Schizosaccharomyces pombe: one gene and its partner. The protein of the gene in region 2 interacts with the protein of the main gene of each other region in a pairwise test. Each region holds a gene or a part of one and is shown on either strand. Other genes may lie near its edges.

Evidence for each region. The genes of interacting proteins can lie anywhere in the genome.
Region 1: the proteins of pex13 (region 2) and pex19 interact in a two-hybrid assay, tested with the Schizosaccharomyces pombe proteins (one large-scale study listed by BioGRID).

The regions. Positions count from the first base shown.
Region 1 is NC_003424.3:4,475,285-4,480,639, forward strand, and holds pex19 (protein Pex19), read right to left. Parts: upstream 1,598-5,355; 5' UTR 1,427-1,597; coding exon 1,333-1,426; exon of another isoform or gene 1,191-1,332; coding exon 586-1,190; 3' UTR 501-585; downstream 1-500. Other genes in the region: protein dhm2, read left to right, coding at 6-290; nuclear proteasome tethering factor Cut8, read left to right, coding at 2,566-3,354; scs22 (VAMP/synaptobrevin-associated protein family protein), read right to left, coding at 3,358-4,011, 4,093-4,208, 4,438-4,627.
Region 2 is NC_003424.3:2,079,302-2,087,420, reverse strand, and holds pex13 (peroxin 13), read right to left. Parts: upstream 2,312-8,119; 5' UTR 2,174-2,311; coding exon 1,307-2,173; 3' UTR 988-1,306; downstream 1-987. Other genes in the region: calnexin Cnx1, read left to right, coding at 1-806; lysine methyltransferase Set8, read right to left, coding at 2,613-3,902; AAA family ATPase Elf1, read left to right, coding at 4,974-8,119. UniProt on the Schizosaccharomyces pombe protein: Component of the PEX13-PEX14 docking complex, a translocon channel that specifically mediates the import of peroxisomal cargo proteins bound to PEX5 receptor.

The DNA of each region.
Region 1 (5,355 bases), 2.4 Mb from region 2:
TCATCATGAGTGATTCCTTTCATTATCAATATGATCGTGCTTCGCCTGAACGACTAAAGCCTACGATTTATTCGTGGACGCGTCTTAGACAATCTACACGTGCCCAAAATGAAAATGAACAAGCTAAAAGGCGACAGGGGATTTTGGAACATAAAAGGGGAGGTTCCATGGAAATGAATAAATTTATAGACGAAAGCGCTTATATGGAATGGGAAAAACAACTTGAAAATGCCTCTGAAGATTATGCAATTGAACCATCGGATCTGGAAGAAGAAGTTGATCAATTGTAACGATTTCTGAAAAAGGAAAACATAACACTATGATTTTATTCGTTTGCTGCTGCTGTCAAAGCCTTGCGTTGGTTCGCCTTGACCTAATGTCAGCTAAAAACTTCTAAACAACTTTATATAAACCAACTTAACATATTTTAGCAGTTACAATCAAAAGAATTAATTACCTAAGTTCGTGGGTTACTAAATTGAAAATGAAAATAAGGAAATTTTTACAAAGAATCAATTATATATAATCCAAAACCCTAAGTTCAATAATATAACAGCGATGATACATATCCTTTAGTCAAGCCACTTACTGGGTTGGACATCCTGCAGTTTCCATAGAATTATCAATCAATGGAGCTGGAAGCGGCTTTTCCTGTATTTCTTCTACCAGTTTCGAAATGATATCTGCATCTTTACGAGCATCATATTCGGGACTCTCAAAAATTTGAATACATTTCTGAATTTTCTGGTACTGTTCTTCAAAACCTTGCTTCTCTGTCTCCTTCGCATTCTTTAAAAACTTAGGATAGTTTGCTTCAAGATCTTTAAGGGGTTCATACAAAATCTCTTTACTGGTAACTTGTGACATTAGGGAGTTTAAGGCAGCCTCTAAAGCACCATAGTTAACGGCTCCATTATCCGAATCTTTTTCCGTTGCAAACTGATCCTCTAATATAACATTGAGTAACTGATCATTCTGAAAGCTAGACGAAAGTTGACTCCCATCCAAGCCAGACGGTCCCCCTAAGTCTTCAAATTTGCTCATCATTTCTTGAATAAGTGAATTCAAATTATCGTCATTCTTTATCCTCTCATTCTCTTTTGATGTATTACCGGTTTGTTTATGCTCATCTATGTTTTTCTTCTCTTCGTTCTTAAATGCACTGGGTACATCTAAATCATCTAGGATATCTTTGTTTTGTTAGTTGTTTCCTTTTAATGTAAAGTCCTTTCTACCCTCTCATTATTTTTTATATTTATGCAATGCAAAATTCACTTGAACGAAATATCGTAATACACAAATCGTAGTCAGGACATTACCGATGTTCCATACCATCCAAATCATCAAGGTCGTCAAAATTCGGCTTTGTGTTGCTTTTTGTATTTTCTTTACGGTTTTCGTCTCCCTCAATAGTTGGATTTGACATTCCGTTTATATATCAGATGTCAGCATACGTTTGTCGTTTTTCAAAAGCCTCTTGCAAGTTCAATTATCATGTAATTCACAAAATAAATAAAAAAGTAGTAAGTTCAAAAAAAATGAAAATTTGGAACTGCCAAAAAAAAATAATAAAGTGCTTCTCTATTATTTTTCATGTAGGTAAAACCGTAGTGATCGTTGTTTATCAAAGTATATCAGCGTGAAAACGTTCAAGTGCATTAAGATGCGTTATTTGGTTTCAAATTTGACGCAATTTTAAATCTTCAAACAACAAATTTAATGGAATTTTTTTTATTTACTGGATGTATGAATCGTTTTAATTATTCATTGTTTGTGTATCTGGTATGAATCGAGTACGAAATTAACGATCATAAAATCGTCGACACAAGAACGTAAAGTCTACCCCCTGCTTTTATTACTTGCCTATGATCAGTTGAAATGAAGCTTTGTTTTCATTTTTAGCATCACCAATAAGTTAGAATTGACTACTGTTTACCAACAACAATTAGTTAAATAGTTATTGACTATAACATTGATCCATACGCACAATTACTTCGAAAAAAATTATTATTTTGCTCTTCCAACTTAACGATTTTCTGTACTGCGTTAACATATTATTGTAGGCTTGACACTCAGCTGCGGTGACATTATATTAAATAAAATGTAATTTTTTCAGTAAACAAATTAAGGAATTAAGTAATAGTTTGGTAACGTCTCATGAGAAGAAAACTCTTGAGCCACTAAATTGTTCTTACCATTTTCCATTATCTTTTTTAAGAAATCGAGGTTCTAATTGAGCTGGTATTGCGGGCAATAGAGCTTCTTGTAATATAGAAATTATAATCGACGGTTTTATTTCATTTGGGCTGAGAAAAAAATTAAATTGCTAGCTTTCATAAGTCGATACACTGAGCAATAGCCATCCTTCCGGCTTTTAAAAAAGGAAGCTCATTAACAAAGTATCCTCTATCTTTGTTTTATTGTTACTACTTTTGAAATTTTTTCCTCTTTCTTTTGGAATATCCATTTCTTTGTAATTTTCATTTTCTTTGTTATAATTAATCAGACGATTTCACGTTTGAAGTTGGTATCTTTATTTGTTGTTACTGTTCATTTCCTTAATTCATGGAGACCTTATCTTATTCTCAGATTAAGAAACGCAAAGCTGATTTTGACGAAGACATTTCTAAGCGTGCTCGTCAACTACCTGTGGGTGAGCAACTGCCATTGTCGAGACTGCTACAATATTCAGACAAACAACAGCTTTTTACAATTTTATTACAATGTGTAGAAAAGCATCCTGATCTCGCACGTGATATACGGGGCATATTACCGGCGCCGTCCATGGATACTTGTGTTGAAACGTTGCGTAAACTTTTAATTAACTTGAATGACTCATTTCCCTATGGTGGTGACAAGAGGGGTGATTACGCATTTAATAGAATTCGTGAAAAGTACATGGCTGTCTTACATGCGCTTAATGATATGGTTCCTTGTTATTTACCTCCATACTCTACTTGTTTTGAGAAAAATATTACTTTTCTTGATGCCGCTACAAACGTTGTCCACGAACTGCCAGAATTCCATAATCCCAACCATAATGTTTATAAAAGTCAAGCGTACTATGAATTAACGGGCGCGTGGCTTGTTGTTTTAAGACAACTTGAGGATCGGCCTGTAGTCCCTTTACTACCTTTGGAAGAGTTGGAAGAGCACAATAAAACATCACAAAACAGAATGGAAGAGGCATTAAATTACCTTAAGCAATTACAAAAAAATGAGCCACTTGTACATGAAAGAAGTCATACTTTTCAACAAACAAATCCACAAAACAATTTTCATCGTCATACTAATAGTATGAACATTGGGAATGACAATGGAATGGGTTGGCACAGTATGCATCAATATATTTAAAAACTAGAACAGAAGGCCTATAAGGAAACATATAATGGCTAATAGGAAAGCGGTTTGCACAGTAACTGTGTTATGAATTTGAGGAACAACCTTGGCACCACTAGTCGGACGCCCAAAAGACGATGAAACGCGTGCAAGTCCTATTTGATTTCCACTGTTTCCAGCGAACATAGATGGACTCGTAGCTGTTGATTGTCTTGTGTTATTAATTACATTAGCGGTAGATCTTAATGCATTATTTTCATTGTTAGGAGAAGTGGTAGTAGGCACTGACTGAGGCTTTGGGTAAGGTTCATTTTCAGCGACTGTTGCAGTAGGAGCTTTTACGGCAGTAGATGGGGCTTCATGGGGCTTCTGGTGAGAAACTGCAGATGTTTTAGGAAGCTGGGTATGCTGTGTAGTAGCTGTAGATGGAGCAGCTACGGGATTTGCATGGGTCGAAGGAAGTGCCGTTCCGTCTATTCCTTTAGAGTAAGATTGATTAACATTACCATTTACTGTGGTATAATTGTCAGTGGCAGAAGTAGGAATAGATGTAGTCGTTGTTTGAGCTGGTTGATGGTGAGCATTAGCATGAGCATTTGCAGTACTGGGGCCTTCACTATAAACACATCGAATTTTTCGTTCCGATATATTAGCCTTGCTGACTTGAGTCCACTATTAAAGTATTGGTTAGAACATCAATTATGTATGGCATGTATTAAAAAAGTAAATGTAAGTATATCTTTTATCACATACAATATCTGCTATATCCATTCCCTGTAATTCTGGCTTCAATTCAGTGCTCTGGACCAAAAATTTATCGCGGCATTTTGTGCCAGGAGCCGGTTCGTGATCTAGAGGCTGTAGGATAACTATTAAAAAAAAAGAAGTTAGTAAATGAAAATTTACAGCAATAACTAATGAGCACAAATTATCTTCCAGTGCACGCACAAAAACAATAAAAACTGTTAGTTTGCAAAAGAAAATCACGTTGATGACAACGTTTTTGTTCCACCCGACAACATCAATGATGGGAACCGCTTAAACGAATAAAATCAAAAAATGCAAATGAGGTTCAAAATTAAATATAAATTATCTTACCTTCAACACTTACAGCCGAATTGGCTTCAATTCGACCACCGTTGGGTCTCACACAGTACTGTTTAGGAGCAGTAGTTTTCACTTTGAATCCGATCGGATAAGGTGCAGTATTGCGAAGTTCTAAATCACATTTTACTAGTCGTGTAAGTGGTCGAGGAAACACAATTGTACTATCACATTCAAGAGCCATGATTTACGGGAAAGGCGAGTTTGTTGCGAGAGGTGGTACTACTTTACTCTGCGAAGTACCATTTCGCAGTGTAGCCAAAAATCGTGGCTTTACGTCACACATACTTGTGTGTGATTTTCCGAGGCTGAGCAAAGATTATGGTAATATATGGATACTGAAATAAAAGGAGATAATTATTCAAGTAACTGTTTTCATCGATATTATACAAAGCCTTATAACGATATTATTAAAATAAATGTGATATTTTGAAAGTAAAAAGTAATATATGCTAAAAAATATTTTGCAGTAGGTGAATAATGTACGAATGCAGTATGGTTATAAAATCCCAATAAGTATATGGATTTATTGTTTGTGAAATTAATAAATGATATAAATACCCAAAAAGGATGATTCAAGTTATCCTTTTTAATTTCTAAATGTCATGTTAATGCGTTTGAATTGTCTTAATTACAACTTAAGAATGCAAGGATGAAGTAAACATTATGATTTCAAAAAAAAATTGCGCATTCGTTTACACTTTCTATTCAAAGGAAATACGTTTTTTGGTTTAGACAATCATTAAATAGATATTGTATACTTTCGTTAATGGTCATTATGCTAGGGAAAAATCAACATTTTTATTTCAAGGAATATCAGCGATGCTTTAGAAAGCATACCATGTATAAAGGAAACGAATTACTCGAGTGGATGCCAACTACAGGATCACGAAAGTCAGTAATCATTTTCAA
Region 2 (8,119 bases):
AACCTCTTTACATTCCTGATCCTGAAGCTCAGAAGCCTGAGGATTGGGATGATGAAGAAGATGGTGATTGGATTCCAAGTGAAATCATCAATCCTAAATGCATTGAAGGTGCTGGCTGTGGTGAATGGAAGCCACCGATGATTCGTAACCCTAACTATCGTGGCCCTTGGTCTCCTCCTATGATCCCTAATCCTGAATTCATTGGTGAATGGTATCCTCGTAAAATTCCTAACCCTGACTATTTTGATGATGATCATCCTTCTCATTTCGGTCCACTCTACGGTGTTGGTTTCGAACTTTGGACTATGCAGCCCAACATCCGCTTTAGCAATATCTATGTCGGCCATTCAATTGAGGACGCTGAACGTCTTGGAAATGAAACTTTCCTACCTAAATTGAAAGCTGAAAGAGAATTACTTTCTAAGCAAGAGTCCATGGAAAAGCAATCAATGCATGTTGACGAAGAGTCTAATCAAATTCTTGAGAAGTTTCTTGACGTATATGATATTATTAAAGCTAAACTTCCTCCAAATGTTGCCGAAAAAGTTGACTACTATGTTGAAACCATCATCGAGACTCCTGAAATTGGGATTGCAATTGTTGCCGTTCTTGGCTCTTTAACCGCTGTTATTCTTACTTGTTACTTTTATTTCTTTGCTTCCTCTTCCCCGGCTTCTTTATCTACTGGAACTACGGAAGCTGAGAAAGAGCAGCAAGAGAAGTTTAAGCAAGAGACTGAGACTGAGAAGATAGACGTTTCTTACGCTCCCGAAACTGAATCACCAACTGCGAAGAATGAAGACTAATGAAACTGCTAAAATGTCAAAAGTTTTTCTTATTTTAAGAATCGCATAGAAGTTGCAATAAACTACTTCCTGTTCCTTTGTGGACTTTTGACTGAAGTAAATGAATATATCAATATATATACTCACTAATACAGCATATTTTGTTTACAAAGTTTGACTCAAAGTAGCGACTCTGTTAAAAGCCTTAGTCTAATTATAAAATACTTGAAAATGTTTTCTCTAGTTCTTATTATGAGTAATATCAATAAATAGACTATGAATTTATAAATCGTGGGTAGTACTATCAAAAAACTTTTTACAACTGCGCATTAGTCGTCAGAGAGAAATGATCAGGCATTTCCCATAAACAAGTGCAAGTAATGCGTGAAATTCTGCAATCAAGAGAAAGGATGTTTGTCTACATATCTTGTGAGAATAGTAGAATAAATTGTCAAACTAAAAAGTTCGTTTACTATACGGGATTCAGACATTTTATTGTCCTCAAACAAAATATCGTAACGTTACCTTGAAATGATTGAACAATAATTTGAAGGAAACCACCCAGTCTCGCCAGATCTCTTTCTTCCTTGCCACCATTCGCAAGGATTACCTTGGGTGTCTGTTTTAGATAGAATTGCTATGATATCTCCTTTTTTTAAAGACATTTCCACTCCCGGATCTCTGGACATAAACTCATAATCAGCCTTGCAAAACTCAAGACTATCAATTTTTTTTCTGATTTTTGCTTGTTGAATCTGTTTTTCTTTTTCATAAATATTTTTGAATAACCTAATTATTGCATAAGGTAAGCCCACCAACCCAAGAATAATTGCCAAGCTACTGACAATTGAATATATTGAATTTTTATGGTTTCCTTCCTCCTTCTCAAATACATCATATTCTTGTGAATTCATTTCATCGATTTTAGAATGCTTGAAGAACTTTAAAACTAGGCGTTTAAGCCGCGACAACAATGAAACAATACCAAATATTGCACCAATAGACGATTTTAGTTTGTTCAGATTTTCACTCACAGAAACAAATGTATTATAACTCATGTGAGCAGCCATTAAAGTAGACTCAAGGACCTGAGCTATACTTCCAACGGCACCTACAATAGATTCAATGACCTGCAGTGATGATATAGGTCCGTTCCCTGGTAAATTGGTTTCCAAAGGGACAAATGGATTAAAGGAAGGAATGAAGGAGTTAAAACCCGAGTATGGATTGAATCCCATATTGTAGTAGTTAGGATTAACAATCCGATTTGCCAAGGGATGCTGAGTAACGCCTTGATTCGTATCAGCATTTGAGTTGCTTACAGACATAATTCCTCCAGCAGGATAAGAAGGTAGACTTGGTCCTTTTTCATTTTGATTTGTTTCCATAGTTAAATCTCAATAAGCTAGATGCGTCCTTGGCAAATATTCTAATAAATCAAAAAGTTGTAGGATGAGTCCTTCGTAAATACGCTGCACGAGCTATTAAATAGGAACTAGGTCGCTTTATGTCAAAGTTGTCGGTGTGGTAGAATACATAGTCCGAAATAGTATTAATGGTAGTCCAATCTGAATACTAACGCCTTAGAATACAGGAAACTGGTATCAATACTACAATTGAAAATTTCCTAATATTTAATAGCATAATCAAAATAGATACTTATTTTTTTCACAATTACTGATTAATTTATTTGGTATGGATATATTACGGATATTATATTATTATACACGATTAGTCATTCCAAATTAAGAGATTTGTAGAGTATTCATCACATACTAAATATTTTCTTTTTTTTTTTAAATAAATAACTTTTTATGCATGGTCGATTCATGACTCAATGGTCTGGCTATGGATGAATTCCACCACAACTTTGGACTTAAGGAGCTTTGAAATAACGTCTCTAAGATATAAAAGGACTTTCTTAAGTAAGAAACTTTCACGCTTTAAAAGCTCTACCGATTCTGAACGTCGTTCGGTTGGATTGTACATATTCTCAATGTTTGTATTTAGGGCAGCATCCGCTAATTGTTCAGCGAGACAAAAAACACGTAAAATATACAAATCTCTTTTAGGAGATAATTGTACAAGCTTTGGCAAATCTTCAACTGAGCATTTTTGACCTTCAAATTCCCAGTCAACTGTTTGAGCTTTTGATTCATCACACACCATTTTGAAGTTTGTAAAGTCTTCAACATTAAGTACAGAAAAAAAAAGAAATGGAGCATGCCACCATAATTCCCCAGATGAATCAGAAACAAATTCAATCATGGGGGGAGTTTTACAAGATCTCCTTTTAGCAAGATCAAGCGAGTCATTAGAATCCTCGGGAATCAAGAGTTTCATAACATTTGTAATCCGATCGCCCTCAGGTTCAGGTAAAAAACCATAAGAAAATAAAAACTCAGCAGAACCTTTTTCACTTCCATAGTTTATCGTAACTTCTTCATTTTCATCAATGTCCTTGTCAAGATAGAGCTGCATAGCATCTTCCGAAAATGACCATTTTGCATTAGACTTAGAGGAGTGATTACATAAATCAATCACAGGAGCTAAAACTGGATCTTTAAAGGGACTTTCAAGGCACCTACTGTGAAACAAAGCATCAGCATGAACCCATTTTGGGAGTGTTATTTTACTAGGCCAGGAATCAGAATACCGCTGGTTTAATGAAAGCCACTCTTGTTGTAAAATTTTTCTCTTGACACAAACTGGATTAAAAATCGAAGTGCCTTGGAGGCTGTAGACTTCTTTTTCGGGCCATTGTGCAGGCGTATTGATAGATAAAGGAAGAACCGTTAAAAACTTATCCCACTTGTTGGTTCGGGGTTGAATACCGAGCCATAAATAGCAAAGAAATAACATAGCCTGAGTTCTGAAACTCATATCGTTCCATTCCTCAAGCGTTGCGATTGAAGCGAATTTATCACAAGAATTTCGAAATTGTTCAACTGTTTTGCGGCATATTATATTTTCAAGTGGAACCTCTAAAAGAACAGTTCCAGAAGTATACCTATTCAAAGAAAAAATTCCATTGCCTTTCTTTCGTATTTTTTTTATAGTAATTTGTTTTGCTCCCGGCGCAAATTGGTTGACCAACTCATTGTATTTGATATCCATTGACTTGATTTTCTCAGTCTTAAGCCAAAACAACGACGGAAAACTTAACAATAAAATGTATTTAATCGAGTTGAAATTTATTGGTTGTTTATTAATAACTCCACGACTTTTCTAAGTCAATAGCAACGAAAATACCCTGTCCCTAGAGAAACAACCGAAGCGACATTAACTTTCGGTAACTCGAACCCAACCCTATATGAACAAAAATACGACGCTTGCATCACAAACGGCAGCCGATTTTTGTACTATAAGTAATTTATGATTTTATTATATCTAGTGGTCATTAGCCTAATACGATTGTCGGTTTAGTTGAAAAATAATATAAAATATTGGAACCTCAAAATAAATAAGTAGTATGTGACAGCTTAAATTATGTATTATTAATATACTAGTAACCTGAGCAGAACAGAGGAAAAATATATTGGCAAAATTATGTGAATCTACATGAAATCTGTTAACTATTGAAATCAATTTATTTCTCCAATTTTTCGTTTTATGGTTAAAATTAATATAAGGACGCAGACTAATATTTTAACAGAGTAGTAGTAAAAAATCCCTATAGAGCTTTTTTGGTTGGTTTATATAGAAACAAGCTTTCTAAAAAGTTATCAAATCATTGTATCTTCTTGCTGATTAAGTACAATACCCTACGGTAGTACCTGGTACCTAATAGGTCTACACTGTCAAATTCATCAGATCCGATGGGCCCACTATAGCAGAGTTTCACGAACTAATTGGATTAATATCTCTATTTACTAATTCATCAAATGCAGGTGGTCCGTTCAGTAAATCTTTTTTGACAGAATATTGAGGATATATTATTTACTTTTAACATCTGTACTAAATAGCGAACTAAAGTAATTATATTATAATAAGCTATAGCGATACTGAGACTGTACTATTTGTCAATAGTCGGCGTTTAAGGAACTGTAAGGCAAATTATAAATTTGCGAGCGGTTAAAATTTAGTATATGAAAGGGATTCTCACAATATCAATAGTTGTCCTCCACCAAGCTACATTGCAAGGCCTAATCGGGTTAATTGTGGGATTTGGAACGGCATTGCAGAGAAATGACATCCTCTGTGTTAATTCAGGGTTACGAAGAGGACGATGTCCTCAAATTATTGCAGGAATTGTTGGATGCTGAAACTTCTCAAAGCTGTGCTGATGTAGGTAAAAAAATTGCCCAGCTTTTTTCAAATGACAACCCTTTAGTCACTTTGAAGACTACGGGGTTTTTGGATGGCTTGGAACGTGCAGCTCGCAATAAGAAGTCGGGATTCCATCGTGAAGCTGCCATGATTGGTTTTGCTACTGTTATTAAAAATTTGGGTACGCCTTCCGAAGTTGTATTCCTTCCTTATCTTCCTACTATTTTGGATTCGTTCTCGGATCGTGGTGAAGTAGTTAGACAAGCCGCCAAAATGGCCGCCCAAGCCCTCTTGGATTGTCTTCCTGCAGGAGCCGTAGAAACGCGCTTAATTCCAAGCTTGATTTCTTACTTAGACGATTCATCTATCAAATGGCCTAGTAAAGTGGCTGCTTTGCAATTACTGGGCTCTCTTGCATCATCATCCCCCAAGGCTGTTGCTGATTACATGGCCGCTCTCATTCCTTGTATTAAAGAACGAATGCATGATACGAAACCGGAAATTTCTCGTGCCGCTATTACATGCATGTTGAACTTATGTTCCGTCGTTGAAAACAACGACATTATTCCTCATATACCAAAGCTCGTCGATTGTATGGCTCATCCGGAAACACTGGAAGCTTGTATTAAAGATTTAAGCGCTACAACATTTGTAGCTACAGTTGAATCAGTTGCTTTAGCTGTGCTCGTTCCTATCTTAAAGCGAGCATTAGCTCAGAGATCACAGTCTATGCTGCGGTTGACTGTCATTATTACTGACAACTTATGTAAACTGGTTCCTGATCCTGCCGAGGCATCTGATTTTCTTCCTGAGTTAATTCCGGACGTTGAGCGTATTGCTCAAACTGCTGCTATGCCTGAAGTTCGTGCCCTTGCTTCTCATGCACTTACTACTCTAAACAAGGCTGCAGCTGCTCAGGCTGCAAAGGCTGCAAACAATTCTGAGAAACAGGCGTTAGATAGCGCTTGTAAAGAATTACGTGAGGCCGTCCTTAAAAACACTAGTGTACCACATGAGTTGGCCAACAGTATCATAGATTATGTCTGCGATGCCTTAGCAGCATTGTATAAGTCAAATAATTTTGACAAAGACAAATGGACTTCGCAATTAGGTGTGCTTTATTTATCTCCACTTGTCGGGGAAGAATTGGCTTCACAAATATCATCAAAGATATATGATGACCTTCACGCCTTCTATAAGTCATTAAATTCTGTTGATGGGATTTCAAACCTTACTATTGAGGAAGAGGAACTAGTTAACACTGATTTTTCTTTGGCATACGGTGGCAGATTGCTTCTGAGTCATACCAATCTTCACCTTTATAGAGGTCATCGATACGGTGTTGTTGGTCACAATGGTTGTGGTAAATCAACCTTGTTACGCGCTATTGGTGATTACAAGGTTGAAAACTTTCCCTCACCTGATGAGGTTAAAACTTGCTTTGTTGCACATAGTCTTCAAGGCGAGGATACTAGTATGGCTATCCTTGACTTTGTTGCTCAAGATAAGGCGTTACTGACTATGAATGTTACCCGTCAAGAAGCTGCTGATGCTTTGCATTCTGTTGGTTTTACTGCGGAGATGCAGGAAAATCCTGTTGCTTCTTTATCTGGTGGTTGGAAAATGAAACTGGAGTTGGCTCGTGCCATGTTGCAGAAAGCTGATATTTTGCTTTTGGATGAACCAACAAATCATCTTGATGTTGCCAATATTGCATGGCTGGAAGCATATTTAACCTCTCAAAAGAATATTACTTGCTTGATAGTTTCTCACGACTCTTCATTTTTGGACCACGTGTGTACTGACATCATTCATTATGAAGGTGTTAAAAACCAGGCAAAAAAGCTTGGTTATTATCAAGGTAATCTTTCAGCTTTTGTCAAGGTCAAACCGGAAGCTAAATCATACTATACATTGACAGCCACAAACGAGAAGTTTGTTTTTCCACCTCCCGGTATCTTAACTGGTGTGCGCTCAAACACACGTCTCATATTAAAAATGACAAACGCTTCTTATACATATCCCAACGCGAAGAAGAAGTCATTAGATAATGTTACCGTTGGGTTATCTTTATCTTCTCGTGTTGCCATTTTAGGTCCTAACGGTGCTGGTAAATCAACGCTTATTAAAGTTCTTATCGGTGAAGTAATCCCTCAAGAAGGAAAAGTTTTCAAGCATCCCAACTTGCGTGTGGGTTACGTTGCTCAGCATGCCTTTCATCACTTGGATCAACATCTGGAAAAAACGCCAAGTCAATATATTCAATGGCGTTATGCTGGAGGACAGGACCGCGAAGTTTCAGAGAAGGAATCTCGAAAACTTACCGAAGAAGACCGTGCTCAGCTTCAGCGTGATATTACGGTCAATGGCGAACGTAGAAGAGTGGAAGCTTTGATTGGCCGTCAAAAACTAAAAAAGTCATTTCAATATGAAATTAAATGGTTTGGGAAGCCTCATAAATACAATACGTGGGTGTCTCGAGAAATATTGCTTGAAAATGGGTTTCAAAAGTTTGTACAGGCTTTTGATGATATGGAATCTTCTCGCGAAGGTCTCGGTTTCCGTGAATTGATTCCCGAAGACATCAGGGCACATTTTGAGGATGTGGGCCTTCCTGGCGACATTGCTGATTACAGCCCCATTAGTAGTTTGTCTGGCGGTCAAAAGGTTAAAGTTGTTATTGCTGCGTGTCTCTGGAATAACCCCCAGCTTTTGGTTTTGGACGAACCTACAAACTTTTTGGACAGAGATGCATTAGGTGGTTTAGCTGTTGCTATTCGTGATTGGGAAGGTGGGGTCGTTATGATTTCACATAATGAAGAATTTGTTTCTGCGTTGTGTCCTGAACACTGGCATGTAGAAGCGGGTAAGGTTACCGGTAAGGGCAAGACCGCTGTTGACGATGGAAAGTTTGAAGATCTGTCGGAGAAAGATTTGAAAAAGATTGAGGCTAAAGCTACCAAAAAGAAGAAATTGACGAGAAATGAAATCAAGGCCAAAGAAAGACGTGCTAGAGAGAGAGAATTAGCATGGTTACAATCTCCCAAGGGCACCGAAAAACCCAA